3 linked regions of the Tamandua tetradactyla genome follow. The protein of the gene in region 1 interacts with the protein of each later gene in a pairwise test. Links are inferred from orthologs where the notes say so. Each region holds a gene or a part of one and is shown on either strand. Other genes may lie near its edges.

Region 1 (10,271 bases):
ACACATTATCAGACTACAAGAACTTAGTGTTTGCATAAATTAGAGAGTGGTGTAAAAATTACATGGCAATTCTTACGTTCCTACCATCAGTGTCTATTGTGTGAAATATAGAACACTGAGAAGCAAAGGAAACCAAATTCATGTCTAGTGCACTGTGACCTGTGAGTAACAGTCTCTCTGCACGGGGTACCAGGAACAGTTTTAAATATGTCTGGAGTAAACTCACTAATTAAACTGAGCTAAGTGAAGCTTGAAATAAAATATACATATCTATAGTTTAATATCTATGCACTAACTTACAGTTGTTAGCTTTATATCTGCCCTCCTCACAAGTGTTCCCATTTGAAGGCAAGGAGAACACAATCAATTCCTTTTCCTAAATATCCATTCTAACCTAAAGTCAACCCATAAACATACTTTTCTATCAAGAGAACATCTGTGCCTTTTTTGCACCTTTGCCCCATCAAGACAAACGGAACATCTTTTCATCAGCAAGCACAGGCCCCTCTAACTCTGAAGAGCTAAATGGGTGGCTGGCATCTCATTTGAATTCATCTTTACCACGTTCTCTTTCAAATGTTTTATCGAAATAGTGCACCTGCAGCGCCTATCTTCTTTAGTCTGGAGCCCTTTGAAGAAAATGTCAGACTGAGGCAGAGAGCTTCAAAACTTTCAGAGGCACCTTTACAGACAAGCCAAGAAAAGGCTTATTTTTAAAAATGCTATGTTGACCTCCTCCTGCATCTCAAGATGACTATAGCCTAAGAATATTAAACACGCACACACGAACAAAACCGCTCTACTGGTAAACTCTAAGGATAGGACACGATGGCAAATAGTCACCTCCTCTTAACCTCAGAAATTTGGAAAAAGCAAAAGAGAAAGGCACACTGCCTAAAACTACCAAAAAGAGACATCACCTTGCTTCACACATTTAGGTTAGTAAATCATCTTTCAAATGGTCAAGTCTTGGAACATCTCACCATGGCCATACTTCTATTTCTTTTTACGTACAATATTTAAAGAGTTAAGAGAGCAGTACTTTCTTCTTTCCATTTTATACTTTAACACACTTACTCCAGGAAACAAAGCAACACAGTACTAAATGCCAAGAAGCCTAAAGAAGAATCTAAAAGGGAACGACACTACCAAGCATTCATGCTAGTGCTAGTCTGATTTTCTTGTTAAAAATAATAATAATAAAAATCATGTGAGTACATTCTGCATTTCCTAGACAGCAATCATTTCTATCCCTTAAGTTGTGCAACTAGCAATGTTCTTTTCCAGGAATCAAGCTGGAAAACCTTTTAAAGTCGACTGGCAATGAAGGGATTAAAAGCTGAGGAATAAAATAACTGTCTCCACCTCCTCGGTACTAAAAGTCCAATTTACTAAAAGTTTCAAAGCAACAACTAACGCTCTACCCGTATACCACATGACATGGCCTATGAGAAAGGAGCCCGCGATTTCCTATTTTAAACGAGGATGCTCATTTTAATCACTTGCCCCAAGAAGATCCGCCAAAAAGTTTGGAAGAACTTTTGGAGCCCGCCTGTTCCCGCTCCCTCGGATGCCGCTCTCTCCTGCCTCTGCCGCATTGATCGAGTATGTCCTCAACTCACGCCCCCTATTTTATTTTGCCCACCTCCACGCACTCAGCCCTGCATCCCGGAGCGGTGCCCACACGCCTTCCCTGCGGCTTCTCCGCCAGGGTTTTCCGAGGATGCGCTCACCAAATCCCACGTGCCTCTGTCCACAGAGCGCCCTCCCTCCCGCCGCACTTACACCTGAACTTGTCTCCAGCACTGCGGACACCCGGCTGGCACATTCTTTCGGAGAGGGAGGGCAAGACTTTTCTCCTGTGCCTCCGGCAACATGTGGAGTCTATATATGGTGGGGCGGGGGGCGCGGAATTCTCTACTTTGGATTGGTTTGTTTGTTTCAAATCTGGGGGAGGGGGGCTAAAGCACACACACACACACACACACACACACACACTCGCCTCGCCCTCCCAGCTCACGGCCGGTTCGTCCCGGCCACAGCTCCCCCTTCCTTCCCGGAGCACCACCTCGCCTTAACTCGCTCGGGCCCCGGTTGCCGCCCGTCACCTCCGCTGCAGTCGCCGCCGCTGGCACTGCCGGCCCTGGCGCTCGCTGCCCAGAGCTCCGCTGGGCGCTTGTCTTTCTTTCTCTCCCTGTCCCCCAGCCCCGGAATGATTGATGACCACCGGCGGCCAATGGCTCTGACACCTCGCCATCCTCGTTCGGGCATCACAGTCCCACGTTCCCGACGTCAGCCTCCCGGGCGCGTCGACATCCCCCGAACCCACGGAGCGGAGCCCGAGCCCGGAGCCTCTGCGCTTTCCCAGCTCTCTGCCCCGAAGCTACCAGGTTCCTTCCCCCGAGTGGCGGGGACAGGACCGGAGGGAGCCGGAAAGCGTTAGAAAGGGGTGTGGAGGCCACGGACCCACCACCGCCCCCTCCCCTTTTGGAAATATTCTTTCGCTTAAAGTTTTGGTTGTTTGTTGGCTCTGACCTGTTTGTGTTTATTTGTTCGCAGCATCTCAAATCAATTACACATTTTTTTCATGACCCGCATTTGCACTTAATTCGGAGTGGTATGTCGGGGGAGGGGGGAAGAGTGCAATAAATCATTCCCACTGGGGCATCCTTAATTTCTCTTCTGGCTAATGGATTTCAACTCCACCCCTCCCCAATCTCCAGACAAATGCCCCCTTCACCTCCTAGGCCGCAAAACCCCGTAATTCAGAGGCTTTACAAAGATAACCCTGTTACTCGTAAATAGCAGAGAAACTCCCGCCTCGGTATAGGAGAAACCGGGCGGCATCGGTTACTTTTGCTCGCTCCTCCTGCCCCACCGCCCAGCCGTGGCCCCAGCTCGGGTCGTCGGCCCGCTCTGCAGGCTGCGTTCGCGGAGACCCGAGGCGGCGGCGGAGAGCGAGGTTGGAGCGCGGGGACAGGGTGAGAAAAAGCTCCGCGCCGGAGCGGCGCGCGCGCAGGCGGCCGGGGGGCGGCCGCGGGGAGCAGCCCCAGCACAAAGCTGCGCGGCGCCTTCCCCGGCACCGCACCTCGCCTCGGGCAGCCGCGGGCGCCCGGGGCTCGGGCCAACACAATGCGCCCGGGCCTAGGCCGGGGCGGCTCGAACACATAACCCTGAGACTTTCTAGTAAACAGCTCGCCGAGCCCTCGTCCCCACCCCCATCCCCGCCGCCGGGCTTTCGTCTCTGCTTCTTGCCAACAACCGCTCCCCCTCTCCCCTCCTGAAAAAAAAATCTCGGCAGAGAAAGGGGCGGTGAGGTGGGGACCCCGAGAGGTCGGGGTGGAGGGGGGGTGGGCGAAGGTCTGGGGGGGAGGGGAAAAGAGAACAGGGGCAAGATGGGGAGTGGGAGGGAAGACAGCTCCTAAAATATAATTTCGTTCGGGGTGGGGGGATTGAAAATAAACCCTCTCCGGGTCCCGGCGCGCCACCGAATTGCCCCGGAGGCGCCTGCTGTTGCGAATGTCAGGGGCATCGGGGCAGCCGCGTTCTGCAGCCTCCGAGCCCTCCGCACGCGTCTCTGACAAGGCACCTCTCACCCTGGCTCCGCTTTGTGTGTGCATTTTTTTTTCCCCTTCCTCTCGCGCTCGGCACCGGGAGCCCGGTCGCCTCCTCCCCTTCCCCCTCCCTCCGCCTCCCTTCCCGGGGCGGATTACCTTTCCCGGGCTGCGCTCCGGGTCCCGGGGATGCCTTCAACGCCCGGCGAGCAGGCGATCCATCGCTGAGCGGCCCGAGCCGGCGGGGGGCGCGCGGGGGCGGCGCGGGGCGCGGGCAGGCCAGAACCTTCGACCCGGGAGGTCCCGCCGCGGGCTGGGGCGGGGGTCCGGGGCCGCGGCGCGAGAGGGAGGTGGGGGAAAGAGGACGGGAGCAGCCTCGATCAGGGGAGAGAACGAGCGAGGGGGGCGAGGAGAGGGAGCGAGGGCGCGGCGAGCCGAAGGGAGCGCGAGCGGTGCAGTGACAGGGACTGCCACTGGGGTCAAAGGAGCACAGCTCCAGGAAGCAGGGCGGCCGAGGCGCCGCTCCGTGCGCGCTCCCCTGCGGGACCCCGCGCCCCCGCGCGCCCCTCCTGCAGCCCCAGCCGCCTCGAACCCCCACCGGCGCCCGGAGGCCCCGAGGTTGCAGCAGGAGGAGGTTTCTGAGGGCGAGGCGAACCGCCTGCCGGTGCGCCCGGGTCAAGCAGGCGGCAGGAAGCTAAGCTGCAAGTTCATCATCATGAGTAGGATCAGCGTAAAAATGATGGGCGGGGGCTAGGGGAAGTTGCGGGGCTCCATGAAAATAAAAGGGTTCTCCCTCCAAAGGGGCGTCTTCTGCAAAGCGAACCCGGACCCCCACCCCCACTCCCACCCACCGACCTGCCTGCCAGGCGCTGTCAGGAGTCTTGGCACCGCTCCAAGGCTCAGAGTCGGCGGTGGTGGCAAGGAGAGTGGCTCGGGCACTGTGCTCAGACCATGGAAGGCGACCCCAGGTCCTCTCCCATCTGCTGAATTGAGACTTTCCAGGGGGGGAGAGCCAGACACACACACACACACCCCTCTTTCTCTTTGCAGTGTTGTTCCTGGGAAAGAAAAGGCCAACCCTGCTGATAATTTTTTTCACCTCCATGAATTAAGGCAGGTTCAGGCTTGGAAGGTGAAGAAAGGCAAAGACTCTTAATTGTCTCCATTTTTGTCCTTTGGACACGTAGTTTTCCCCAAAAGCTAAGCACTTCAAAAACATTTTTAAAATCAAAGTTAGTCTGGTTTGATCTGCTACTTTGCAAAATGGAAGAAAAGCTTTTCCGAATTGTATGCAAACAACATAAGGAATGGAAAAGCTGTTGAAATGCTAGAAGAGGAAGACAAGGAAGTGGAGGCTTTTAGGAAACTTGGTGGCGGGGCTGTCTGTGAAAGATGAGGTGGCCCTGTGATGTTATGCCATTGTCAGAGCTGAAGGATTTGGACGACAACCAGATCTAATTCCTTTCCAGGAGCCAGACTCAAAGATCTAGGCATTCTCTGGAGGGAAATCCAATGTATGTGTGTGTGAGAGGCAGAGAAGTGTGCTAAGTACACTATGTGACAACTGACTAGACATCCTGGCTGAAATTATATCCCCTAAAAATAAAAAGGAGTCATTTCAACCTGGTCTGTGGCCTCTGTGCTGAAACTAATTGGTTTCCAGGGTCTAGGGAGGAAGGGAGAGAGGCTGGTAGGAGTCCCTATAAAAAAAGATCAAACGGAATTCACTTGAAAATATTTCCCTTTTACAATGGGCTTTCCTGGCACTTGAATTTTAAGTAACCTATCTCTTATGCCTGGGCTGAAATGAAAGGGGAAATGGCCTTATTAATGTATTTATTTTATTGTACAGCATGCTCAGAGCATCAGTACTTGTCAAATATGTTGGGATTGAGAGGCCAATGACTTTTCCTTGTTCAGCACAAATCACAGCAAGAGACATTAAAGGATGTCAAAGATAGGGCGGTGGGGGCTGGCACCTTTATATTTTGTCTCCTTTTGTTTTTCCAACCAGGCAACAAGCCCTGACTGGAATCATGTTTTTGAAGAAATATATGGCTTTGCTACCCTTACTGTATGAGTTAGGAGTACACTCCTCTTATCTATATGGTTTAATTTTTGTAGACTAATTTGGTCTGATTAATTAAATCAGTCAAAAAAATTATCATCAGCCTGATCGTTTTTGTGGCTTGCTTTCTTCCTTTTTATTTTTTAACTAACTGATAGTTAATCAAAGCAGCCAAACTACTTTGTACATGATTCCGAATCTAAATATCTGCACACAATAAATAATAATGCTTTTGTTGCAAATATTATGCTGTAATTCATGTTTTAAAAAGTCAAGTGAACTGTTACGAAGCTGATGAAAATTTCTATACTGTTTTACAAGTGAGGAAAAACTGAGGCAAAAAAATTAAAACTTAAAATTAGAACTGGTGATGAAAGAAAGATCCTTTCTTGGATCAATTATCTACTGGGAGAAATAGTAACCTGGCAGTATTTGGGTTATGAATTTATATTTCCATTAGGCTGTTAAAACAAAGAAGGTGGAGAAATGTAAGTGAATTTAAATAATAAATCAGGAACAAAAGGAACTCATCCTCATTATGTGGATTTGAACATACTGCATTCTGTTGAGTCTATTCTACATCAGTATAGCTACCAACGCTAAAAGCTCACTTTTAAATGACTGGAAATGAACACTATCTGTCTCCTAACATCTGCTTTGAAACGTAACTTCATTATACTATATTTAAAATGCTATAAGCTGGGGCTTTTGTTGTTCTTATTAAGTGAGCCTACAAGTTCTGTTTTTCTTTTTTCTTTTTTTTTGTTAAATTTAACTTTTATTGTTTAAAATGGAAAACAAAAGAAGTACAAAAATCAAATGGCAAGTTTACTGTTTTCTCTATGCAAATATTACAGATTGTTTGCTTTTAATGGAATGTAAAGCTGAACGCTTTCTCCAGTGATGTCGTTGAAGGAACTGGCAAATATGATTCCAGATAGCTCACTGCAATACTTTTTAAAGTATCTCTTTCAGAATGCATTTAGTGAAGAAAATGAAAAGGGAGTCTGGGAGAACTTAGAGGAGCCTGGGAGGAAGCTTGGAAAATAAATGCTGCTTCCCTCGCAAGCTCAATACTTTATTTGGAGTTAGCTTTCATCCTCCCTTTGAAAATGGGATTTCCAATACATCAGGACATGTTTATAACTTAAAACTTGGTTCAATCCTGTGGTTCTTCGTCACCAAAAAATTCCATTGAAATTATCGTCTTTCGTTGAATTTCTTTGAAATTATATGCAGCAGTCTATCTCTAGGAACAAGCAGTAACTATTTTCCTTTAACTTGTGTTTTATCATTTTCCAGCAAGGCTAAGATGTGTATTTTCAGAAATCAGAACCTCTTGATAGAATTACCGTTATGATGCAATTAGGAAAAAACCTGAGCCAATAAACACCTTTCCTTTATTCTGAATTCCTACAGTTTTTGCATTTTCTTTACTTGTTGAAAGCGCTTACTTTTTAGCTTCTCCAGTATAAGAATTATGCTCTTTAATCCTTTGTGCCCCCATGCTTATGTCCTTTGCACATAGTAGGAGCTTGGAAATACTTGTTCAATGACTATATGGGTTGATAAATGAGAGGGTAAATGAGAGAATGCAAGTAAGAATGAGTCAAATAGGCAATGAAAGAAAATCCACACCAGGTATGCTAGAAAGGAAGTGAGGATAGGAGGCCAGTTTTGGAGGATAAGAGCTAAGCACTTCCCATGTAGTTAAAATAGTATATTTTAAAGTATTTACTAATGTCTTTAGAAACATGAACTAATGCATAAGAAATATGCATTCAGGAATTAATTTTTTCATAGAAAAACTTAAGATTTTTTATGAACCATGCCCATTTAAAGGCAGCCCTTTTTGGAAATACAGCGTAAAAGGATCCCAGAAAAAAGGATACGGGGTAAAATTTGTACCTTAAGATTTAGAGGGATAATGTACCAAGATATATACTAAAAATAATGTGTATATATATATGTGTGTGTGTGTGTGTGTGTGTGTGTGTGTGTGTGTATGTGTGTGTATGTATAATTAACCTGATTCTTTGATAGATCCTTTTGGAAATCCTCAATATAACCATATAAATTATGTTTATATGTCCTTTGTATTTAAATTTCCTTTTAATTAACTAATAAATATGCCTGTGCATAGAAAGATTCAGGAACTTCACTCTAGAAGACATGAAATTTTATTTAATAAAATAAATTTATAGACATTATCTTAGAAAAGCTTAATTTAATCCAGCTTCGCAAGGACCTTAAATAATAAGCATGGGAGAGATAGAAATCTTAATATTTTGCAAAACTCACGTTAATTCTTACCAAACTTACTAGTCAATGTCTACATAGATCAATACATCAGATAAGTATTATTTTTATACAGTAATTATTTTTAAAGTTGGAATAAGTTGGCAAGCATGGGTTAGTGTGTTTTCAGTTTTAATGTCCATCCTAACAGACTCACCTGATCTCTGTTATATATTGATTTTGCTCATTCTGTCCCCACGTCAAGGTTTCAATTTTGAAAAAGTTATAGAAGTTGGTGGTACTGGGAGAGGCTTGCCCTGGTGGAAGTAATCTCTTTGGAAAGATGGTCAGTGGAAAATCCATGATAACCTTATTAAATAAAAGGCTTGTGGGGGATTTTAAGTTTAATCATTCAATTTGAAAAGACAGCATAAAGTATATTAATATTTTGAGTAATATATAATGTAATTTTCCTTCTCAACAAAAATAAATGAGCTAATACAATTTTTAAAAATTGAGTTTGAGAGACCAGTAGACTCTAAAATCCACTTCTTACTATATAATTAATGTAATAGTTTGATTGTTCAACAGATATGTTTTAAGCTTAGCTCTGTGTCAGACACCATACTTATTATACCATGCTGATGGTCTAATGATGCAAAAAAACATGTAGTTCATTCTCATGATCTGAGGATATTGAGAAACTAACTTTGAGTAGCTGCACAAATAGATGGAAATTATATCTGTGAAAAGGAGAGGCACCTGGTACAAAGGAAACATAAACTAGTGAGACCTTGGGGTTGAGTGAAGGCTTCCCAGATGGAGGAAAGGATTATAAGGTGGTCATAGGAAAACCTGAAGTAGTGTGGCTGGGGCTGTAAGGAATTGCATGGTGGGAGAGGGGTCCGAATCTGATCTTGTAAACAGAGGCCAGAACTGTAGAGCCATGTTAGAGAGATTTGAAGGTCACAGCTAAGGCCCTGTTCAAGATGCTTGACTTATCCTGCAGGCAATGGGAATGTGTTTAAGGATCTTAAGTAGAAAGGGTAACATGATGAGATTTGTGTTTTGAAAAGGGCACTCTTTCCCCCAGCGTGGAGAATGGATTTTAGGGGGCTAGAGTGAACATTGGGAGGTCACTGGGGAGCTATTGCTGTCTTAGGGAAGAGGCAATGGTACCCTTCATCAGGAGAGTTTTGGAAAACGGGGAGACCCGAGGGACTTAGATGCTGATTCAAGAGGCTTGAATACATTTTACATAATAAAAACAAAGTGTAGCAGAATTGTGAAATGCAGGTCAGAGGTATAGTCCTCCTTAGCCAGACAGCCTGAGAGTCATAATCACTTAATGACTTCCTTTCTTAAATACAACTCACAATCCAGCATTCCTAAATCTCCAAGTCATCTCTATTCTATCCAATACACACAGCTTTTGGAATCTCACCTTTTCACAAAGAACTGCAGCACTAAACACAACAATGTCATAAAGTGTCACTAATCTAATTTTGTTGGAACCCACGGATCCTAAAACTTTATCCCCATTCAAAGACTCACACCTGTTTTTCGCCTACCTATGCACTTGTTCTTATTTCACATGTAATATAAATACCGCAGGTAAACGTATTTCTGTTTTTCTTCAAAGTTGTTTGGTGCTATTTCGGTTCCATCCCCAAAAGACTGTAGTCCCTTATATTAATATCCCATGTCATATTATAAGGGTGCTTAACAAGCACACAAGGGAGCAGTTGACTAGCCCTTGGTTTTACTGGATGCATAAAATTAAAGTAAAGTTTACTGGAAGATAGTTTAAAAAATCACAACACTACATCAAAATCACTATTTTGAACTCAGTGTAGTAGGAAATTTCAAAATATCTTTTTCTTTCTCAAGAGTATTCTAGTCACTGTTTTCGGAAATATTGAAAAACACAGAGAAAAGCAAAATGAAGAAATTAAAAACCAACTATGATGCCATCATTCAGAAATATCCACTGTTAATATTTTGGTATAAAGTGTTTCAGTCAAATATATTTTACAAAAATGGAATAAGATTAGGAATGCAATTAAGAGGGAGTATAATATAGTGATTGAAAGTGGAAGAGGATTTGAATCCCGTCTCTACCTCTTACTAACAATGTGACTTTGGGGAAGTCACTTAAACTATCTCCCTGTGTCTTAGTTTTCTCATTTGTAAAAAAAAAAAAAAAAGATATTAAAAGCACTCACTTCAAAAACTGTGTGTGTGAGGAGGGTTTGGGAGTGTGTACTTTCTGCATGATTTTCTCTGTAAACCTACTAGTACTCTAATAAAAAGACTCCTTCATAGAGTTGTTCTGAGGATTAAATAAATTGATATTTTTTAAAAAGCTTAGAACAGTGTTTGATGCATGTGAAGCAATTATTACATGATTT
Region 2 (10,059 bases), on another chromosome or scaffold:
TATTTACTGGGTTCCTAATATGTGCTAGATTCTGTTATAAAGTTTGTAGAGGCTACAAAAATAAATCTGACTCATTTTCCAGAAATTTAGGGTTTGCTGTCTAGGAAGAAATTTTTTTCAGATGCATTCATGATAATAGTACATGGAGGAACATGTTTCATGACACAAGAACGTTGCCAACCACAGACTATGGGGGTCTTAAGGAGGGAGAGAATAGTCTAGCCACAGGGCCACCTAGAAGGCCCCATGAGAATTGCTTGGAGGAACTGGTGGCATTTCAGCTGAGAGCATAAGGAGGGGAGGCTATTATAAGCAGAGGGGCAAAGTGAATACACACGTGAAAGTGGATTACTAGAGGACACCGTTGGAAAATGGTGAGTCACATGAGTGTGACTAGCTTGTAAAAGGGAGACAAAGCAAGGAACAGAGGTTTTCCAGTTGTGCAGAGTTCAAAGGTGATATGACAGGTGAAACACGGGATGCTGGGTGAGACAATGGAGCAATGAACTCTTGGAGGCCATACCATCTAACACGGTAGCCTCCTGAATGCATGGAGGATGTTCCCACCTCAGCACCATTAGCTCTACTGTTTCCGCTGCCTGGTGCATCCTCCCCAACCTCCTCCTTTCTTCTCCAGACTGAAACCTACTCACCCTTTAGATCTGAGTGTACTTGTCATTTCCTCAAAGGAGGTCTGTCCTGACCTTTCTATTTAAATTAGATTCTCCTGCTATAGTCTTTCATAGATCCAATTATTTCCCTTCACTGCACTTATCATAGTTTATGATGACATATTTATGTCTGTGACTCTTTAATATTTCTCTTCCATCATACTGCAAAGCTCCATGAGGTCAGGATCTCTTCATCTCATTCCCTAGTTTAGCTCCAGTGATTGGCAGATAATAAGCTCTCAATACACGTTGGCTGAAAGATAAATGAATGAAGGAGGGACAACAAAGAGGGAAAACAATATATAGAAATGCACACACACACATTTAATAAAAATATATCATTAATGAGCGAGGAATCATGATCTGGTGAAAGATACATAGGCTGGGAGTCCAGGTCAGGGTCCTAGGTTTTATACTCGTGTCTACTAGTAGTGAGACTTCATCCAAAACCCAGTTTGTTAGAGTAACTCTCTTTCCTTCTCTGGTTTCACAGCTTTGGTCTCAAATTTCTCATTTATGAAATTGAGATAATAAAAACTGCTCTGTGGGATAGCATACCGTAACTCAATATACTGTTATGTAGGTAAAGCACTACACAAACATAACAATATTAAACCATAGTAGCAGCTTTAGGGGCATTTGCATCTAAATTTTATTGTTAATGTCTATTGTCAATTGTCAAATAAATGAATTTGGTTTTTCATTCTGTATCTGTTACAGAGATATAGAATGATCATTTTCTATGATCATTGGTCAAAAACAGAAAGAAAGAAATCAAGACAAAAGGCAAGGCCACATCCTTTGAACACCAGGGCAACTGTAAGATATTATTTGCTGAGTCTTTTCAAATACACTAGTGAAAACTCTTGCTCTTTTCATTCACTTAAAGCCAGTAAGGACTTTAATAGAAGCAAACCTATGGAAGAGGAATAGATACTCAGCATTGACAAGGAGTAAGCCCAGAATCCCTATGAATGAATTAGCAGGTTCCCACCATAGAAAGTGGGCATTTGTTCTTTTACTTGACATCCTAATGGGAATTTAGTAACAGCTGGAGACATTGGAATGACTGAAGTTGGTGGCTTGTCCAAGAAGGGCTTAGAAATACCAGACGGTTTCAATAATCTTGTTATATCAATAGTGCTCTTAGAAAAGACACGGCGGTGCCAAGGAAAAAAATGTGGATGTGAAAGAAAAGCCATATTCATTTTTCTTGAACTGTAGGCAAATGTTTATGGTTCGTTATGGGGTGTTAAACCATATGGAAGTCATCACAGGGAAAGAGGCTGGGGTGTTTTTTGTGTATTATAAGCATATCAATCCTTTTTTAATGCAAAAAAGATTTATTGAGCATCTATTGTGGGGGAAAACAAAGACATGAACACTGTCTCTGAAGAGTTAACAATCATGTAATGAAGAGAACACATACTCAAAGGATAGGTAAATGCTTCAGCTCCATTGTATTGGGGGGTGCCACAAAGCCACACTAGTTGAGTGTCATCTGAACACACTGGACAGTAGGTTTTGTCAGACTTAGGCTAGGGGAGCTCTCTGGGGATAATCGTGGGCCTGGTGGGAACTGAGCTGGAACTTACATGCGAGTTAAAATTCTGACAGTTGGGAGAAGGTAAACCAGGCTTGAACAAGGAACCAGAAGTTAGAATGAACACATCGTGCTCTCACAGTGACTGAAACATCCAGACCAGAGGGGATATTCAGAGAAAGGGAGGAAAGAAAATATTAATTCCTTGTACTTGTATAGAAAGCCAGGGTGCCATACTTGCATTACAAATGATCCACAAAACGCAAACAAAAAGACCCAGAAATCTCAGTAGAGGGCCGGCAGCGTGGGCATTTTCCCCCAAGGTTAAACAAGCTTGTCCAGGGTCACACGGCTGGAGAGCAGCAGGGCTGTACATGACCTGGCCCTGGTGATGACCTCACAGGGCACTTTCCTCTACCCTAAACTTGGAAATTGAGTTGAGACATATGGGGATGATGTCCTTTCTACACCAGGTTAAGGAGTTTGGACTTTATTTTGGGAGGAAAAGAAGTAGGCATTGTACTTAACTTAGCAAGAGGGATAAAAAGGTAGTCTACCACAAACTACAGATCACCTGTACGTTGACCTTGGACAAGGTTCTAGAGTGTTTTTTTTAAAGGGTGGCTTTTTTTTGGGGGGGGGGGAGTGGGGGAGCTAGGGTCAGGAATAGAACCTGGGTCTTCCACATGGCAGGTGAATATTCTACCATGGGACCACCCATGCGCCCCTAAAGGAAGGCTCTTGAGTACTACAAGAACTCTTGCCAGCATGAGTTCACCAAAGAGGAATGTGTTGTGTAGGAATGATTCCCTTCCTTCTCTGACGGGTATACTTGACGGACTGAAAAATGTAGCTTGTACTTTAGTAAGGCACTTGCTTCACATATCTCTGCGGAGAAAATGGACAATTACTGAATGGATCATGGATTTAGTTTGCATTGTATTTTAAAGTTGAAGGGGCTATTCAAACGTATCTAGCCCTGCTGCATCATTTTAGCAATGAGAAAAAGGAAACGAGAGGCAACATGACTTGCTTAAGGTTGCATCACCACTGCCACCATCATCATAAATATAGCTTTCAAAGTAAATATTGAATATTTACCATGTATCTGCCATATTCTAAACAATCAACATATGTTGACACATTTAATCCTCATGATAAACCTATGAGGTAACTGAGGCTCAGAGAGATTCAGTAACTTGTCAATATCACAAGGCTGTAAGCAAAGGAACTGTGATTTGTACATAGAAAGGTTGGCTCCTGAGCTGGTGTTTTCTTTATAGATATGGGCTCTTTAGGCTTTGTATCTAGTCAGAGTTAAAGGCACATAATGAATGGACTTCCTAGTGGCATGCTATAAGATGTCACTCTTGCTAAGCCCTTTTCAATACTTTTATCAGACAGATAAAAAACAGAAAGCCGATCAACAGCTCTTCAGAAGTTATGAAATGGGGAAAGGAGAGGAATAAGAAATACACTGGATAACAGAGCAGGATCCCCAAAGATCAGGGATGATGAAGGAATCCTAAAAGTTTTCAGTTCGGAAGAATATAAGAATATTATAAGCAGGCCCCCAAACCAATTGCCCAAAAATGCAATGAGGAGCATGTATGAAAAAGAACAGTTAGGGGAGCGTTGTCAAGTTAATTCCACAGGAAATGACAGGTGGGGCTACCCACCAGCTACCGCAAGTGAGCAAATGGCCCACTGTGTCCTGCACAGGTCACACCACCCTCGCCTTGCCCATGCTCTGAGAGCCCAGCAACCGACCTAGGGAGCCCTGGGTGTCCTCAGTCCCTTCCAAGAGATGCCTTGGATCTTTCCCAACTGCTCTTGCTCTGGCGCCCACCTTGGTCCCCGCCTCCTTTTCATCCTCACTTTGTTCCTGCCTCTGTATCTTTATTCTTAGTTTGTATTCTGGGTTCCCCTGGTATTCAGGTCTGACCGCTACCTCCCCTTACCATGAGGATGTTTAGGTAAACTGAAGTACATTCATGGGTACTAGATAAGTTGTGGATAGACTGGAATGTGCTATGACACATGGAATGACAGAAGGAACTAAGAGGCCTAAAGATGAGGAGCCTGTGGGTATAGGAGATTTTGCTCAGGATTTGCAGAAGACCCTACTATGAAAGATCCCACAGGCTTCCCTTGTGTGGCTCCAGGGTGTAGAAGCCGTAGAGAGAAGAGGCAGATTTCAGCTCAGTAAAAACTTTCTTATAGTAAATGCTGTTCAGAGATGAAATGGAACAGTAGTGAGCTCCCCGTTATCCGAAGTATTCAAGAACCGGCTGACCAGTGATTTAGTAGGAAAGCAGTATAACAGACCCAGACATCAAAGGGGTGGTTAGACTCTTTGATCTCTGGGTTGGTTTTACCCAAAGAGTCTTTGTGTCTGTGAAGACCAGGGGTGCTTTTAAAACAGACGACTTAATGACCATGTATATAAAGTGAAAGTGTCCCTCCGGTGAGTGTCAGGGTCAGGCCCAAACCTCCTTCCTACCTGTAAATTTTCCATGTGAGTGACTTCTAGCTTCCAAATGCACTTGTCAGGCTTCCACTGTTAGGGCACAGCCAAATGCTTCCAGCCACTATATTAAAAGAGACCCACCCAAATATGAGGGTCACTCTATTTTAGTCTTCCATGGCTGGTGGTGGAGCCTCACGTTTTTATATTCTTGCACTCATGAAAGAGCTCTGTTCTTTCTTGGCCCCCACCCCCAACCCCTTTCACAGATCAAACGCCAAGTGCACTGGATAGATAGAAGCTGGAGTGAGAAAATGCATTTTAATAAAACCCCATTGATTTTTTTTGTGGGTACAAGTCAAGGGAAAGAAAGGTACCTAAAGACTCTTCCATCCCCTGCCATCTCCCTCGCTCTGCTGACCTACTCCGGGGCGGTCATACATCGATTGGCTTCCGAGATAATAGATCGTGCCACCGGTGGGGACCTCTGGGGATGAGCCGGGAGCTGGAAGTCGCACGCAGCAGCCCAGCCCTGAGTTAATCAAACTAGCAACAGGATCTCGAGCAGCAGCGGTGGCGCTGGCAGGAGGAGCGGCGGCGGCGGCATCAGCATTATGCGTGATTACTGACAGGCACCAGCTGCTGCTGCCACCGCCGTCTCAAACGCACTATGTGGACTCTCAGATGTAGAGGCGGATTCCTGACTAATCCCGGAGGGCTGGCCCAGCCTGTGCTCCTGGGGCTGCTAGGAAGCAATGACCACTCTTGTTAGCTCAAGTTGAAGAAAGCCCGGCTTTGCTTCGGAGCTGGGAGAGGCTGTAATACTTCGAAGACGCACAGGAGAGAAATATGAACTGAGGAGTAAACATGTATGGAAATTATTCTCACTTCATGAAGTTTCCCACAGGCTTTGGCGGTAAGTAGCTCACTTGGACTTTACTGAGAAGACCTGCCCGGAGGAAGCTGAGTGGCAATCGGGGAATACGGATAAGCGGATGGGTATTGATTTAGGAGACCGCATATGTTTATCTGCATCTATAGTGTGTTTCAGTGTGAGCGTGCTCTGTAGATGAGGATATGTTTGCATATCAGAATGAGTGAACAGATGAGAGGATATAGGGATATTCTAAGTGCCTAAACCAGCAAGCTTGAGAATGTCTGAGACAAAGATAGAATAAGACCATTGTTACAACCCAGTGTGTTTGTGCGGGCATGAAAAGTGGGAGAGTTAAGGAGAAATTGGGATGATATGACTATTATCCAACTTGTAATGAGAAAAAATTGGATTAAAAAAGGTTTTGCCTTTATTAAGAGTCCCTGGAATATTTTGCAACAGGGGCATGATTTGTTTTATTTTAAAGAAGATTTCTCTATAATTGGATTTTTTTTGTACAAGAAAACATAGCACTTTAATTTGCCACCTTGTTTTCCTTCTTCTGTTTTCTTCCCTTTTGATTTGCTAATAGCCTCTTCTCCCCTCCCTGCTGCTGCCCCAAATTTCCTGGCAAGGATCACAGTCATGACTTCCACTCTGGGGGTCGGGATCTAGGGGGCGGGGGTGGGTCTGGGCTCTCATAACAGAGAACCTGCAAATTGAAGATCCAAGTTGTCAAGGCAGGCAGGGCAGCCCCGTCCAACTTCAGAGAGGCTTCCGGCAATGGGCCCGCAGGCTGCCTTACTGCCCAGACACGTCTGTCCCAAGGATCCCTGGATGCAGTGACAGAATCAGCACAAACACTCGCCCAGCTTTGAGTAAGTGGAGCAACCAGCTGACCAGCTGGCCTCTCACTTGTCAGTTGGTGGCATGTAGCTTATGCTCCTGGGAGCCAAAGGAGAGCTTTTGCCCTGTGGAAGCCAGCAGGCAGGGCAAAGCGGAAATTCTAGTAAGGTCTTGAGAACTGAAAAGTCTGTGCTTTCCTGACTTCCTTGGGGGACAGATAGCCAATTCATCTGAAGCCTGGGGAGTAAAGGTTGCCCACTCTGCTGGGCAGAGCACCCTGTGGGTGGTGCAACATGCAAGGTGGATGTGGTGCCTGCCCAGGAGACTACAGGCTGGGTGGTTTGCTCATTCATTCAAGGTTCATGGAGCAGTTTTTACGAGCTAAGCGGGGTGTTAGGTGCTTGGAAGACAAATATGAATGAGACACAGTCCCTGCCTTTGTGGACCAGGCTAGGCTTGTTAAACTGCATGGTGCGTGCTATATGGGAGACACAAGGAAGGAGGGAGCTGCTTGCTCACAGGGGCGGGGCCCGCGGGAAGGGTCCTGGAAGAGGGAATGTTTAAGATTTGGGCCAGTCTGGTGGCATGACCGAGTGAGTGCGGTGGCCAATGCTGTGACCTGGACATTGGATCTTCAATTCAAAGTTGGGCCCCGGGTGTGAAAAGCCTTCTTGACTCCATTCACAGAGCTGAGAATCATTTATTCCTTTCCCTCTGAGTTCAGTTGCCTGAGAAACATGCTTATCCTAAGCCAGATTCCCAGGTCTCCCAAACCTCTGGGAGGGCATGACTTCATTAATGCAGAGAAGACTCTTTGAGACAGATCAGGTAAATTAAAGGATTGAAGGTGGAAAGGTTTATGTAGAGAGCTCAGGAAGAGATTGTAGAAAGAGGGTCTAATCCAAAATTCCATGGGGGCTGCCTGCTGGAATCGTGGAATGTCAGTTCCCTAAGGGACCTTAAAGAGCACGTTGGATGTGTAAACTCAGCCCTAAAGGAAGGCAGGGACCAGTCCAAAGGTGTGGGTTGAATGATAGAGCTTTCCCAAAGAACTCCTAGATTTATAAAATACTAGATTTATAAAAGTGTTATTTTAATCTGTTATAGTGAAAAGAGCATGATGAGAGGGACAGACAGAGAAGGAGAGATGGAGTAAGTTAGCTGAGTTTAGGTCTCAGCTTTTCAAGTACCAGCTGTGTGACTTTGGGCAAGACACTGAACCTTTCTGAGCCTCATTTTATTTGTTTGTTTTTTTCTTTCTTTTTTTTTGTCTAAAATTGGGTGTATACACCCATCCTCACAGTATTGTGAGACTTGAAAGAGCTAGCTCATGAAAATGTAGCTACTATAGTGCATTCCATATAAATGAAATTTACTATTTTTATCCCCTCCGTTTTGCTCAGATACTAACATGGAAATTAATTTAAAAACCTGATATTACTGTAGAATAATGAATTAGGAACCTGGGAAAGCAAGTTTAAATCCATGAAAACCCACATATTTTGCTTGTTTGGATTTCCATAATTGTAGAAGCTCTAGTATTTAGCATAATTAGATTTCATACAGAAGCAAGTGCTATGGTGCAGCTGGACATTGTGGAAGAAAATAGTCTATAGAAGCTGGGGAACATGAGGGGAAAGGGTCATCCAGATTGGTTAAGTGTCTCTCTCTAATGTTACTTTCCCTGTCATTCCTGAGGGAGGAAAACAATTATTTTATTTAGTTCTGTTGATGTTCTCCATTTTGTTTGCATGCACTGGTTAAGAGGAGGCTGGAACACTTTGACCCAGGACCCTGCCCCCCTGGACAGGGGAACTCGCAATGGGAGGGAGCAGGGAAGGAGGAAGGGGCCTTCGCAGGCACTGGGGAAAACCTGAGAGCCAGCGTGGACTTCACCTGCAGCCTCCAGCTGACTTCGCCCCAGCATGGCAAATTGCACCGCACTCATTGCATGATTGCTTGTAGAATCCCTTACCCTTTTATGTACTATCAAATGAGACCACAGAGGGCTCCTGCGATGTGTGTGAGAATCTCTAGGGAATCAATGGCACCCTTTGGAAATCACACCTGGGATTTATGTCTGAGACTGTGCTCATCAGATGACAAGCCATCATTCCAGTCCATGTATAAGGGACCCGTCAGATTGGGGCCTGCCCTGGGGGCAGAGGGTCCCATAAAGGCGACCACTCTCCCCTCCCAGCCCCGCCGTGCATCCGTGTTGATGAGAGAACTTTCTCTTCTCGTTCTCTGCCAAGTCCGGGGTTTGCCAGCTGCTCAGTAAGAGATTTGTTTTTCCTGGGAAGAGACAGTTGCTGCCTATAAGAAGATGGCAGAGCAAAGCCTGTAATCCCCCATCCAATTGTGCAGTAATCCTCAGGGTAAGAAGGAGGTCAGGAAGAGAGAGGGCTGCTCTCGTTTCATTTAGCAAACATGCTGTGACACTAAGTGCCAGCCCTGGCCATTGTAAGCACTTCCCAATATCGCCTTATTCCATGCGCATCACAAGCCTATGTGTAGGTACTGCCATCATTGTCCTACTACTTTATAAATGAGAAGTCTAAGGCAATGAAAGGTGAAGTCACTTGTTTGCGGTCCCACTACTAGAAAACGCCAAAGCCAAGGATTTAACCCAGGCAGTTTGGCTTCAGTCCATGCTTTGCCGGGCTGCCTCTCAAGGCTACTGTAAGAGAGAGTTTTGTTCTGCAAAGCTCGTGGCAGCAGCACACCCCAAATGGGAGAGAGGAACCCAATCCAGCCTTGGAAATCCAGTCTTAGCGCTGCCCAGTGGTTGCAGAAACAACGACCTGGCCATTGAGGAATAAAGTAAGTTACCTTGGAAGCATGATCTCTTAGCACTAAAGGTGGCCCCTCCCAGGTTCTACTGACATGCAAGAGTCCTGCCCCACTGACTCTTACCGTGCAGGTAGAAAACTCCCCTTTTCACCTAAGAATAGCTACAGATGGGGGATTGAGTTGGAAGGGCTCATGTGCGTGTGTATGTGTGTAAATGTGCGTGTGTATGGGGGGGTGTCAGGGATATCTATGTACGTGTGTGTGTTTATAGGAGAGGTGTGTGTATGTGTGTGCGCTCATGGGTGGTACATATGCTTGTGTATATGTGGGAGGGAGTGTGTGTGTATGGGTGTGGGAGGAGGATGTGTGAGTGTATATGTGAGTGTGCCAGCACATATTTTTTTCCCTCCACAGATGTGCGGGTGGTTAGGACCTACCATGGGTGTAAGTGGTTAGAGTTTATGTAGGACGGAATAACTGTTTACAAGATTTAGGAAGGAACATCCTTAGTATAAACTAACTTCTGAAACATTTACAATCTTACCAAGAGATAGAAAGCTGAATAGCAACTGGGGAAAGAAATAGTGCAAAGAGTAGTCTAAATTCTCCATGTCTTCTTTCCCCTCACTAGGTAGCTTGTGTATCTGCAAAGAACTTAGCCACCACAGTTGGGTGACTGAGATGCCAGGGACTCCTAAGGGAAGCTAGTATTTTCTCCCACTCCCCATTTGGAAGTACAAGATATAGTGGCCCAGGGAGTGCAAGAAGTTTATTTTCTAGAATGGCTGGGTTTGGGCAACTCATGTGACATTGATTCAGGTCCCAGCTCAGTGATCTTCACAAAAGAGTAAAAATAATAGCCAGT
Region 3 (10,023 bases), on another chromosome or scaffold:
TGTCGATTTGCCTAGATGAAGTGAATTTCAGAGTCAAGGGGGTTAGTTGTAAATAAAAATCTAAGTTTATGATTCCATGTTTTTTACCCTTGGTTCATATATTAAGCTCTTAAAGCATCAATATGAAAAATACTCTAAGAAAAGTTAAGACTCAATCAATCAAGTCTGAACAAGAAATATAAAATAAATGAAGTTATTGGCTAGAAAAAAAGCCTGCATAATGTGGATTTTTTAACTGTAATACAGTCTTCCCTGTTACAAATAATTAAAACTAAATACAGTTTTCTAATTTGAATGGTTTATAGATATAAAACTTGAGAATGTTCACTGATCCCCAAAGTATATAATAAAAAGCTAAGACCAACATTAGACTGGTTCTAAGAATTTCCTTTTGGGCTGAGTACCTCAAGAAAGGTAAAGAATGGTAATGAGGCTTCAGCACTAAGACTGTGGTACGCACAAACATAAATGGTGACAAAAACAAAGACAACATCTAAAACCCCAAAAGTATAGATAAAAAGGGCCTATAACAATGATGGATTCAATTTTGTAAACTAGCATGGTACTGAGTTTTTTATTTGTATAATACTTTAAAAAATATCTATTAAATTTAACTTTTTTTTTCTTTTTGGTGCATGGTCTGGGAATTGAACCCGGGTCTCCTGCATGAAAGACGAGCATTCTACCACTGAACCACCCGTGCACCCTAAATTTAACTTGTAAAGTAAGTTTTTATTAATGTATTCATGGTAGAAAACTAAGGTAAAATTTTTTTCAATCACTTATAGCCTTTTTTTTTTTAGAGCTCTTTAAGAATTATTTTTATTAATTTGCTATTATCATCTGGAAGTATAAAAATTTATATTGAACAAGGAAACACAAATAGAAAGTTAGCCACAAAAAAAAACCAGAAACAGAAATACACTTTTGAAAGGGACAATGAAATGTTTGAATATTCTTCATCCCATTTCTGCTATCATTTGCAGAACAATTCTAACTGTAATACAGTGTTCCTTCCTATAGAACTACTTTCAGGGCACTTCTTTCATGAACCTAAATTATATTGAGACCAGATTGAGTTACAGAATAAACTATTTTTGGTTGTTTTTCTTCATAAGCTTATAACTAAAATCTTTCCAGTTTTTTCAAAATATAGTGCAAAAAATTATATTCAGGAATCACCTATAGCCTTTTTTTAAATAAACTTATTTTAAAAATATTTTTATTGAGAAATATCCACACACATGCAGTCCAACCATATTATACAATCAATGACTCACAATATCATTACGTAGTTGTGTATTCTTTGCCATATCATTTTTTTTTTTTTTAAATACATGGGCAGGCACCGGGAATTGAACCCGGGTCCTCTGGCATGGCAGGCAAGCATTCTTACCTGCTGAGCCACCGTGACCCACCCTGTCATATCATTTTTAAAACATCTGCATCACTCCAGAAAAGGAAAAAAAACCTCATGCATCCCATACCCCTTCCCCCTTCCTCCCGTTGACCCACAGTATTTCAATCTACCCAGTCTTTACCCTTTATCTCCCCCCATTATTTATTTATCCTTATTCTTCTTATTATTATTTTACTCATCTGTCCATACCCTGGATAAAGGAGCATCAGACACAAGATTTTCACAGTCACACAGTAAAAGCTATATAGCTATACAGTCTTCCTCAAGAATCAAGGCTATCAAAACACAGTTCAGTAGTTTCAGGTACTTCCCTCTAGCCACTTCTTTTTTTTTTTTTTTTTTTCAATCACCTATAGTCTTGACATCCAAAGATAATAGTTAATATTTAAGCAATATACTTCCAGGTTTTTTTTTCCAGGCTCTTTCTTAAGGGATTATATATACTCCATGCCAAAACTAATCAAAGTTTTACCAATAAATCAATTAAGGGGTTACCAAAAAAAGACCAGAAGTATGTGTAATTTCTTCAGTTATTTAAAAAATTCATGCATTCTACTCCATAATATAGCTCTATTTTAACAATAAAGAATATTGCTGGCTTTTTCCCCCCTCCATCTTTCAAAATCCTTTATATTTCAGGAAGACACCCTTATCAATCCTATGACTGCACACAATAGACACACACAGTACTTTCAATTTGAGATACAGGCATGATTTATAGTTTGGTAACTTATCTCCTGTACATGGTAGAAGAAGGTTGATCATGAACATATTTCCTCCATGTCATTAAATAATCTTTCCTTGCAATATATCTTATGGACATATAATACTCCATTGTGTGAATAAGCAGTTCAATAGCAAATTTAACCAGTTTGCCACTGTGGGGAAATTAGTTTGTTTCCAATGTTTCTCTACCATAAACAATACTAATACTGGACGATCATTCTAGTAAATAAAGTCTTGGCACACCACTAGAGGAATTCTGTGTGAAAGGATTTGTATGCTTTTAAAGCTTTTATCATATCATGCCGATTTATCCTCCAAATAATTGTACTTATTTACCTGACCATCAATTATATATTTTGTCACTGTTTATTTCATAAATGAAAAAATGGTATTCCTAAACATTTAATTTTCATTTCTTTACTTGAACTTTTCCTCCATGTTTCTTAACCTTTTGTAGTAAACTGTCTATATTTGTGGCCTTTTTTATGATGATTTTTAAGCTCATAAATTCACGACACCTTAAATAACTCCTTTAAAATTAACTGATTTTGGAAAGACTGGACCTACGAAATTATCAGAAATACAGAAAAGATAAAGAATGAATATCAATAAAGGAAAAGGCTGGGACCACAGAACAATATAAACTGGGAAGAATATTTCAATTACTTAATTTCAGAACCACGTCCATGAGGAGGACTTTTAACAAAAAGACAGCATAAGCAGAGAACTTAAAGACATGTAGGATCACTTATAAAATACCTGTGGGTTATTCCTTCCATTGGAGGGATAACCTTTTGTGAGTTTTCCAACTCCATCATCCCAGTCCCAATCATCATCATCATCATCATCATCATCATCATCATCATCATCACAGGCCTCTTTCTCCTCTTCAATCTCATCTTCACCCGCCTTCTCATTCACATTATTTTGAAGGTTTTCAAAGAGAATGCCATCTTCCTTTTTGATTGTCCTCATGTCTCTGTTTTCACTAGAAATAACAATGTTCTAGAATGTTTACAAATATTTTAAGTGGACTCACAATCCACATATATATTTACTTACTACATAACAGACCATATTGTATACAGATAAATCTAAAAGATTCCCTTACAGCATATCTCCCAATAAGCTCAATCCTCTCAACAGAAGAAGTTTCTCCAGTTTTTCAAAGTTCTGCTGCAGTTCTTTGCTTACTCTCCATGCCCAAGTTCCACTAGGGAATAAGTGCATCAGTTGTTAAGCCCCTTCTACCTTAATGAAGTTAGACTTATATTGTCATCTTCCCTACTGAATGAACCGACTCTTATTAGTACCGAATTATCTGACTAAGAAAATCACCTACAGAACTGCTTTAACAGAAAAGTTTTTAAGTCGAGAATAAATCTCAGGCAGATTTACCTTGAACTCAACTCCACCATGCAACAAAAGGGCTGTATCAGGATTTAGTATATTACACAGAACTCCAAATCACTCTTGCTCATATAAAAGGGAGGGAATGGTGAATGCAGAGGACTAGCTTTAAGACATAAAGAGAAATGGGGATTGTCAAACTGAGAGAAAGTGAGAGAATGGCCCAGGGTAAGTTTATCACTTGATGTGAACTTTCAGATCCAGTAGCAGATGAGAATGTTTTGCAGCATCCCTGGCCTGGTCTACCACCAAATGGCAGTAGCACCTGTCCCTATACCTTCATGAGTTATGACAACTAAAAATGTCTCCAGAGATTACCAATAGTCCTTTAGGAGCAAAACCACTTCCAGCGGAGAAGCCCTGGCTTATCCTCACCATACCCCATGATGGATGGTAAACCAGCCCACTTTCCTTAACATTAACTGGTCACTCTTGTTTCTTCTTCCCTAAGGCCTTTTGTATGCTTATCTGTAAACATAAATGGGGAATGCCCTTCCCATTTCTCTGGCTAAGCCCTATTCATCCTTCCATCGTCATCAGACTATCATTTGTTCAGGGAATTGTTCCCTTTTCACCACCCATTTCTCCTTTGTAGTGCTTATCTAATTCTAACACAAATTATTTTGTCTAATTATTCAATGTTTCCCCTGCCACAGCATAAGCTCTGTGACATCCAGGACAAAGTCTGTTTTATTTACCAATGTTTTCCTATGACCTAACACCAGATCTGGCACATAGAAAAACGATCAACATTCATTTATTGAAAATTCCCCAATCGGTTAATAAACTCTACAAATTTTTAATGAGCCAATATGAATCCTTACTGCAAACTAAGTAAAAACTGTTTTCTTGGGATTTTCTTGGAATTTCAAAATAATTCTGTTTCTCTTTCCTCACACCCCACATCCAATTTATGATCAAACCATATAATTTCCACGAACAAAACATACCTCTATGGCCCTGATTCTAGCTCTCATCATCTATGAATGAGATTACTCTTTTTGAACTCACCTCTCTGCTTCCACTCTTACCCTCCATTATCACCATCTAAAGGGCAGACAATTCCTTCAAATCATAAATCAAATCACATCCTCCCCCTGCTAAAAGCCCTCCTACTGCTTTCTATGAGATGTCGAATAATATCTACACTCCTCATCATCACTTGCAAGGCTCTACATGACCTGGCCCCTTCTCACCCCTTTAAAATCACCTCCCAATCCTCCTAACTACCTTCCCCGTGTTCTAGGTACACTGGTCTCTTGTTCTTTCACAGCCAACAGGGACCCCGCCTCTGGACCTTCGCATTTTCTGTCTCCTCTGCCTGAAATGCTGTTCCCTCAGCTGTTCCCGTGGTTAGCGTCTTCTGGTCTTCTAAATCTGGGCTGGGTTCTTTCCGACCGACCAGTCAGTCATTATTTAGTATATCACCCTTTCTCACTTCTTCGCATAGTATATATTATCTGATTTAAAAAAAACTTTGCCTGCCCCTCACCCAGGCAAAAGGCAAAGTTCCACGACAGCAGCAGCTTGGTTTGTCTTGTTCATCACTACCTCCAGCGCGGAGGAGGGGACGTGGCACACAGTAGGTGCTGAAAGGTAACGCGCAAAAACCTTTGTTCCCCAATCCTTATCCCCACCTCTACCCCTCGGTAAGCTTATACAACTAATAGGAAACCCTGGACCCCGGTGGCCACTGGCTGCCACTGACCCTGCGTAAACTGGGACGAAAGACCCCAGCTGAGGGAGGGGGGAGGAAGCAAAAGACTGATAAGCGAGACGCTGAGCCATGAATTACCAGTCTCCCCTAGACCACTACTAAAATGTCAACTCCCGCAAGAGGTCGGAGGAGGAGAGAGCAGATTCCGGATAAAGTCGATGTCCTCAACGGCCTTCACCTGTCGGAGGAATCCGCGTCGTCAAACTGCCCAGGGACCGCCCGGCTCATCAGCAGCCGCCGGTAGTCCATGGCGCAAGCGCGGTAGGCCCCTAGCGCCACCGAAGGATCGCGCGGGGAGGGGAACCGCACAGACACGGTTTTACCCGCCGCCGATGGAGCAGCGTCTCCGCAGATCCCTAACTCTCCAACAGCTCAGAAGCCCGTACGCCAACAGCCCCCGCCACGTGCGGTGAGCGGAATAGACCAACGGTTCTCAGCGAATCCCGGCCCCGCCCAAACCGGAAGCCCGGTCCCGCCCCAACCGGAAGCTCGGTCCCGACAGGAAGCCCCACCTACCCAGGAAGTACCACTCAGAAGTCCCTCCCCTGCGCCGGGAACGTGTGTGAGGCCCTCTCCCGACAGTACGCAGGGGAAACGCTGCGGGGCGTGTATCCGTTTGTCTCGGGGCGGTTCAGTCAGCACCTCGCTTTGTGTTTCTTCTAGGTAAAGGTTTCGACAGGTAGTCCACACGCTGTTCAGTCGCAACCGCATAGCTTCAGAACGCCTGGCACGGAGATGCCGAAGTTCCCCATGCCGCCGCCCGGGGCTGCGGTGAGGGCGTCGGAATGTGACTGGCATCTTTAACCGCCCAGATTGGCTGCATTCGAGCCGACGTCATAGCCGGGTGGTTCCAAGTTGTCTGGATCTCAGCTGCGAGCTTTAAAAAGCCGTCTGTGGAAAAGTTTGAAAAGCGTTCTTCTTCCTGCCACGGAGCACGGTGCGGAGGGAGGAAGCACGAAATCCCTATTGTAGACCCAAGAAACTCAATGGAGCCTGAAAGTGAGCACACTTTGCGTCTTAAAAAGTTTGGTGCATTGCGTTGAGATGAAAATGAGACAAGTGCTTTAAGAAGTTAAAGCTGTTATATGACTGAAGAAAAATTGTTAAGCAAAATCTTAGAATTTTTGCGAGTATCTCCACTGACACCTCTTCTAAAGCCTATTTAAAGAGAATGTTAGTGTGTGGAATATCTAGCCAAATATTTTTAAAATCCAACTTTAAGGAACTTTAATCTAACTTTATGTAAGGACATAAATAGAAGATGTATAGCTGACCATAAAATGTGGCGGGTTGTGCAGTGCCATATAAGCGTTGAATAAAGTTGTAGAAGTGCAATTTGAAGTTCTGGTTCGCACACAAAAAAAAATAAGACATAAAGCCTTTGTCTTTTTCTGTGTTTGGTAAATAACGCAAGGAGTTTTCCAGGTCCCATTCCCCACGACTCAGGCAACATTTCCGTATTTGCAAGATAGGGAAAGGTTGGTCATGAAGTTGGCCTTTTTGCCAATCCTGACTAGCTTGCTTGGCTCATTAGCTTTTTTTTTTTCTCCATTAACTTTTATACTTTACCAAATAATTCCATGGTTTTCAAAATAGTTAACGCAGTTCGAGTAACTAATTCAGGCAAATGGGTAGTGCCTGCCAGCTTTTTTAAAGGGTTTAACATAAATATATAATTGAAATGCAATATGTTGTTGATATTTACAGCTTGAACAGCCCAGATCTATTTGTTGTAAATGGTATTGAAAAACAATGAATTTCTCATATGATGCTTATAATCTATGAATACAAGTTCTAATACACCTGAAACAGTGGTGAAAGCTCTGGAACAGAAAACAAATAGGTGCTGAATTGAGAGACTCAAATTTAGAATCTGAGGACATCCTAGGAGTTCAAAGAAATAGATGAATAAAACTAGGGAAAGTTTTGGGAAAGAGAAGCACATGCTGCAGCAAATTTTTGAGGTGGGAAGGAGCATGATCTATGTGCAGGGTAGTGAGCCTCATCTGGCTAGAGCAAGGGAGAAGTGAGTAGGAAATGTAAGTCCAAATTATGAAATTATGAAAGGCCTAGATAGTTGAGCAGAAGAATCTGGTCTTAGTTTGGTTGGTCATCATTTCCATACTAACAGTGCTTCAGTTGGACATCCAGACTTAGGTCTTCTGGCATACCTGAGGAGATCACCAGAACATGAAACAGTGTGATAACATGAAGGATGGAAAGTAAACATGGGCCGTGAAGAAATTTAAAGGAGAAATTAATAGGACTTGATAACTGAGAAGCCTGGTTGCTGGGGTAGAGATGCCAAGAAAACATCAAACCTAAGTACCTAAGAAAATAAGTGTGATGTAGGATAGTGAGGAAAATAGATGTGATGTTGAATAGTGGATTTCACTTGAGATTGAGGTGTTTGAATAGGAGGTATCAATTACATAGAAATATAGTGTCTTATGGAACCTAATAGGTCTCCGATAATATTCTGTAAAGAACCTTTGATTAAGTAACTCAGAGATCCCGTTTTCTTCTGTGTCTAAGCCTTTTAGGGAATTGGATAGTAACTACACATATTGACTTGTTTTTGTCCAAATCAATATCACCAAAGTAACCATGGGACACTCAGACTAAACCATGGTACACTATTAATCTGTCTAAATAACTTAACAAATGACCTTTTAAAGTTTAGGACAGTGAACTTTGCTATCTTCCTACTGTGAAAAAGAATGGAAAAATAACTTTGTTTACATATACTAATAGGCATTAAAATTATGTTTTTTAAAAAGGTTTCCATCATTCAACATTCAAGAGCAAGAACTATCAAAAATTTTGACCATCGTCCATTCTGATGTGAATACTTCTCATGAAAAATTACAAAGCATGTCAGAAGCAGATGCCATGAATATCAGTAATCTTTCTCAAGACTTAACTCACTCAGATTCTCCGTTCTGTATGGAAACCAGCAGTACCACTTCAGATTTGCCTCAGGTGTGCATTGCTCCTAAATTCTGAGGGGCGTGGGGTGGGAAAGAGTACAGTTGTAGTCACCATTCACATTGTCTTCCACGGGAAAATTTCTTCAAACGTATAAGAAGCAATGAAAAGCTCTCCAGTGGAGCCGTAGAGGGAAAATATGAAAAGTGGAATTTTTCAGGCAGTGTTTTAAAATCATCAGCCTCGTCATGAAGTCCCAAGAGGGCAGCCAGGGGACATATCCACAGCAGTCAGAGAAGCAGGATGAAAGCCAGAGGGGCCTAATGCCTGGTTCAGTACATCTTCCACTGTATCAGTATGCTTCACATGTCATTCATACTGATGATGATAGCACCCTGCATTTAGATGACATCATCCCTATCTTTATGAAAATTGCTTAGTGCCTTTTCTCACAAAATAAATGATTTTCATGTCCCATGGTCTTCGGGCATGTTCTTCTGTTTAATAGAATGAGAGGAATGTGTTAGGTCATGCCATATGTTATCTTTTTGTAGGTCAAAAATGGACAGATTGACAGTTTCATATTCATAGGTTCACATTCATAGGTTCAAAGTATTGGCATAACCTTTCTAAAGAGCTGTTTAGTAATGTATAGGAGATTAAGAATTTAATTGTGCTTTAAAAAAAATTCATTTAGCTATTCTGCCTCTAGGAAATATAGAAATGAGGATGGTTACAGAACTATCGTAATAACTGAACATTGGAAACAACCTAAATTTTCATCAGGAATGGGCTAGTTAAATTGTGGTACAGATGTACAGTGGCCATATAACCTTAAATATAATAATGCAGATACGTACTTGTTTGCATGGAAAAATGATCACATTGGTTCTCACTGATAGTGGTTTTTTTAGTTTATCTTTTTTTTTTTTTTACAATGTTCAGGATTCTTTTTATAATTATAAAAATCTATTTTCATTTTGATAAAAAACATGGCCATAATATTTTTTTCAAGAGTAAACCTTTATTTTCATAACTTTTATGACATTTCATTTTTAACATTTAACTTAATACTCTTTAAATTTTTTATTGTATAATATAACATACATACAAAGCAAAGAAAGAAAAAAGTGATGGTTTTCAAGGCACTCTTCAACAAGTAGTTACAGGACACATCCCAGAGTGTGTCATGGGCTACCATACCATCATCTCAGATTTTTCCTTCTAGCTGCTCCAGAACATTGGAGGCTAGAAGGAATAAATATGTTTTTATCATCACAGTCGACTTTTTTTTTTTCTTCTTTTGTGAAAAATAACATATATACAAAAGAGCAATAAATTTCAAAGGACAGTGCAACAATTAGTTGTAGACCAGATTTCAGAGTTTGGTATAGGTTACAGTTCCAGTTTTAGGTTTTTATTTCTCACTGCTCTAAGATACTGGAGACTAAAAGAAACATCAATGTAATGACTGAACAATCATACTCGTTTGTTAAACCCAACCTTCTCTGTGTAACTCTACCATCACTTTGATCTCTCCCGCTCTTCAGGAGTATTTGGGTTATGGCTGTCAATAATACAGGGTAGGGAGATGAAACTAGCTGATGTTCTGGAGAGGCTGGCCACTCTAGGTTTCAGGGCCTATCTGGTCCACGGACCCATCTGAAAGTTACTCTAGTAAATGGAACCTTTGTAGAATCTTATGTATTGCTCTAGGTGTTCTTTAAATTGGCTGGAATGGTTTTGGTTGGGGTTTGGCAAGTTATGGTAGGTAACGATGTCTAACTGAAGTTTGCATTAAGAGTGGCTATTGGAATAGCCT

What was found.
Region 2: the proteins of MPPED2 (region 1) and RXRG interact in binary tests that used the Homo sapiens proteins (3 or more experiments, as listed by UniProt). The two-hybrid records come from large-scale screens. The link is inferred for Tamandua tetradactyla from reciprocal best matches to the Homo sapiens genes MPPED2 and RXRG.
Region 3: the proteins of MPPED2 (region 1) and CAGE1 interact in binary tests that used the Homo sapiens proteins (3 or more experiments, as listed by UniProt). The two-hybrid records come from large-scale screens. The link is inferred for Tamandua tetradactyla from reciprocal best matches to the Homo sapiens genes MPPED2 and CAGE1.

What each region holds. Positions count from the first base shown.
Region 1 is NC_135334.1:106,455,377-106,465,647, forward strand, and holds the start of MPPED2 (metallophosphoesterase MPPED2), read right to left. Parts: upstream 3,822-10,271; 5' UTR 3,714-3,821; intron 2,982-3,713; exon of another isoform or gene 2,893-2,981; intron 1-2,892. UniProt on the Homo sapiens protein: Displays low metallophosphoesterase activity (in vitro). May play a role in the development of the nervous system.
Region 2 is NC_135330.1:18,710,167-18,720,225, reverse strand, and holds the start of RXRG (retinoic acid receptor RXR-gamma), read left to right. Parts: upstream 1-5,239; 5' UTR 5,240-5,548; coding exon 5,549-5,597; intron 5,598-10,059. UniProt on the Homo sapiens protein: Receptor for retinoic acid. Retinoic acid receptors bind as heterodimers to their target response elements in response to their ligands, all-trans or 9-cis retinoic acid, and regulate gene expression in various biological processes.
Region 3 is NC_135351.1:10,025,561-10,035,583, reverse strand, and holds the start of CAGE1 (cancer-associated gene 1 protein), read left to right. Parts: upstream 1-5,724; 5' UTR 5,725-5,854; exon of another isoform or gene 5,855-5,936; 5' UTR 5,937-6,272; intron 6,273-8,053; 5' UTR 8,054-8,147; coding exon 8,148-8,255; intron 8,256-10,023. Other genes in the region: RIOK1 (serine/threonine-protein kinase RIO1), read right to left, coding at 1-11, 2,906-3,134, 5,452-5,522.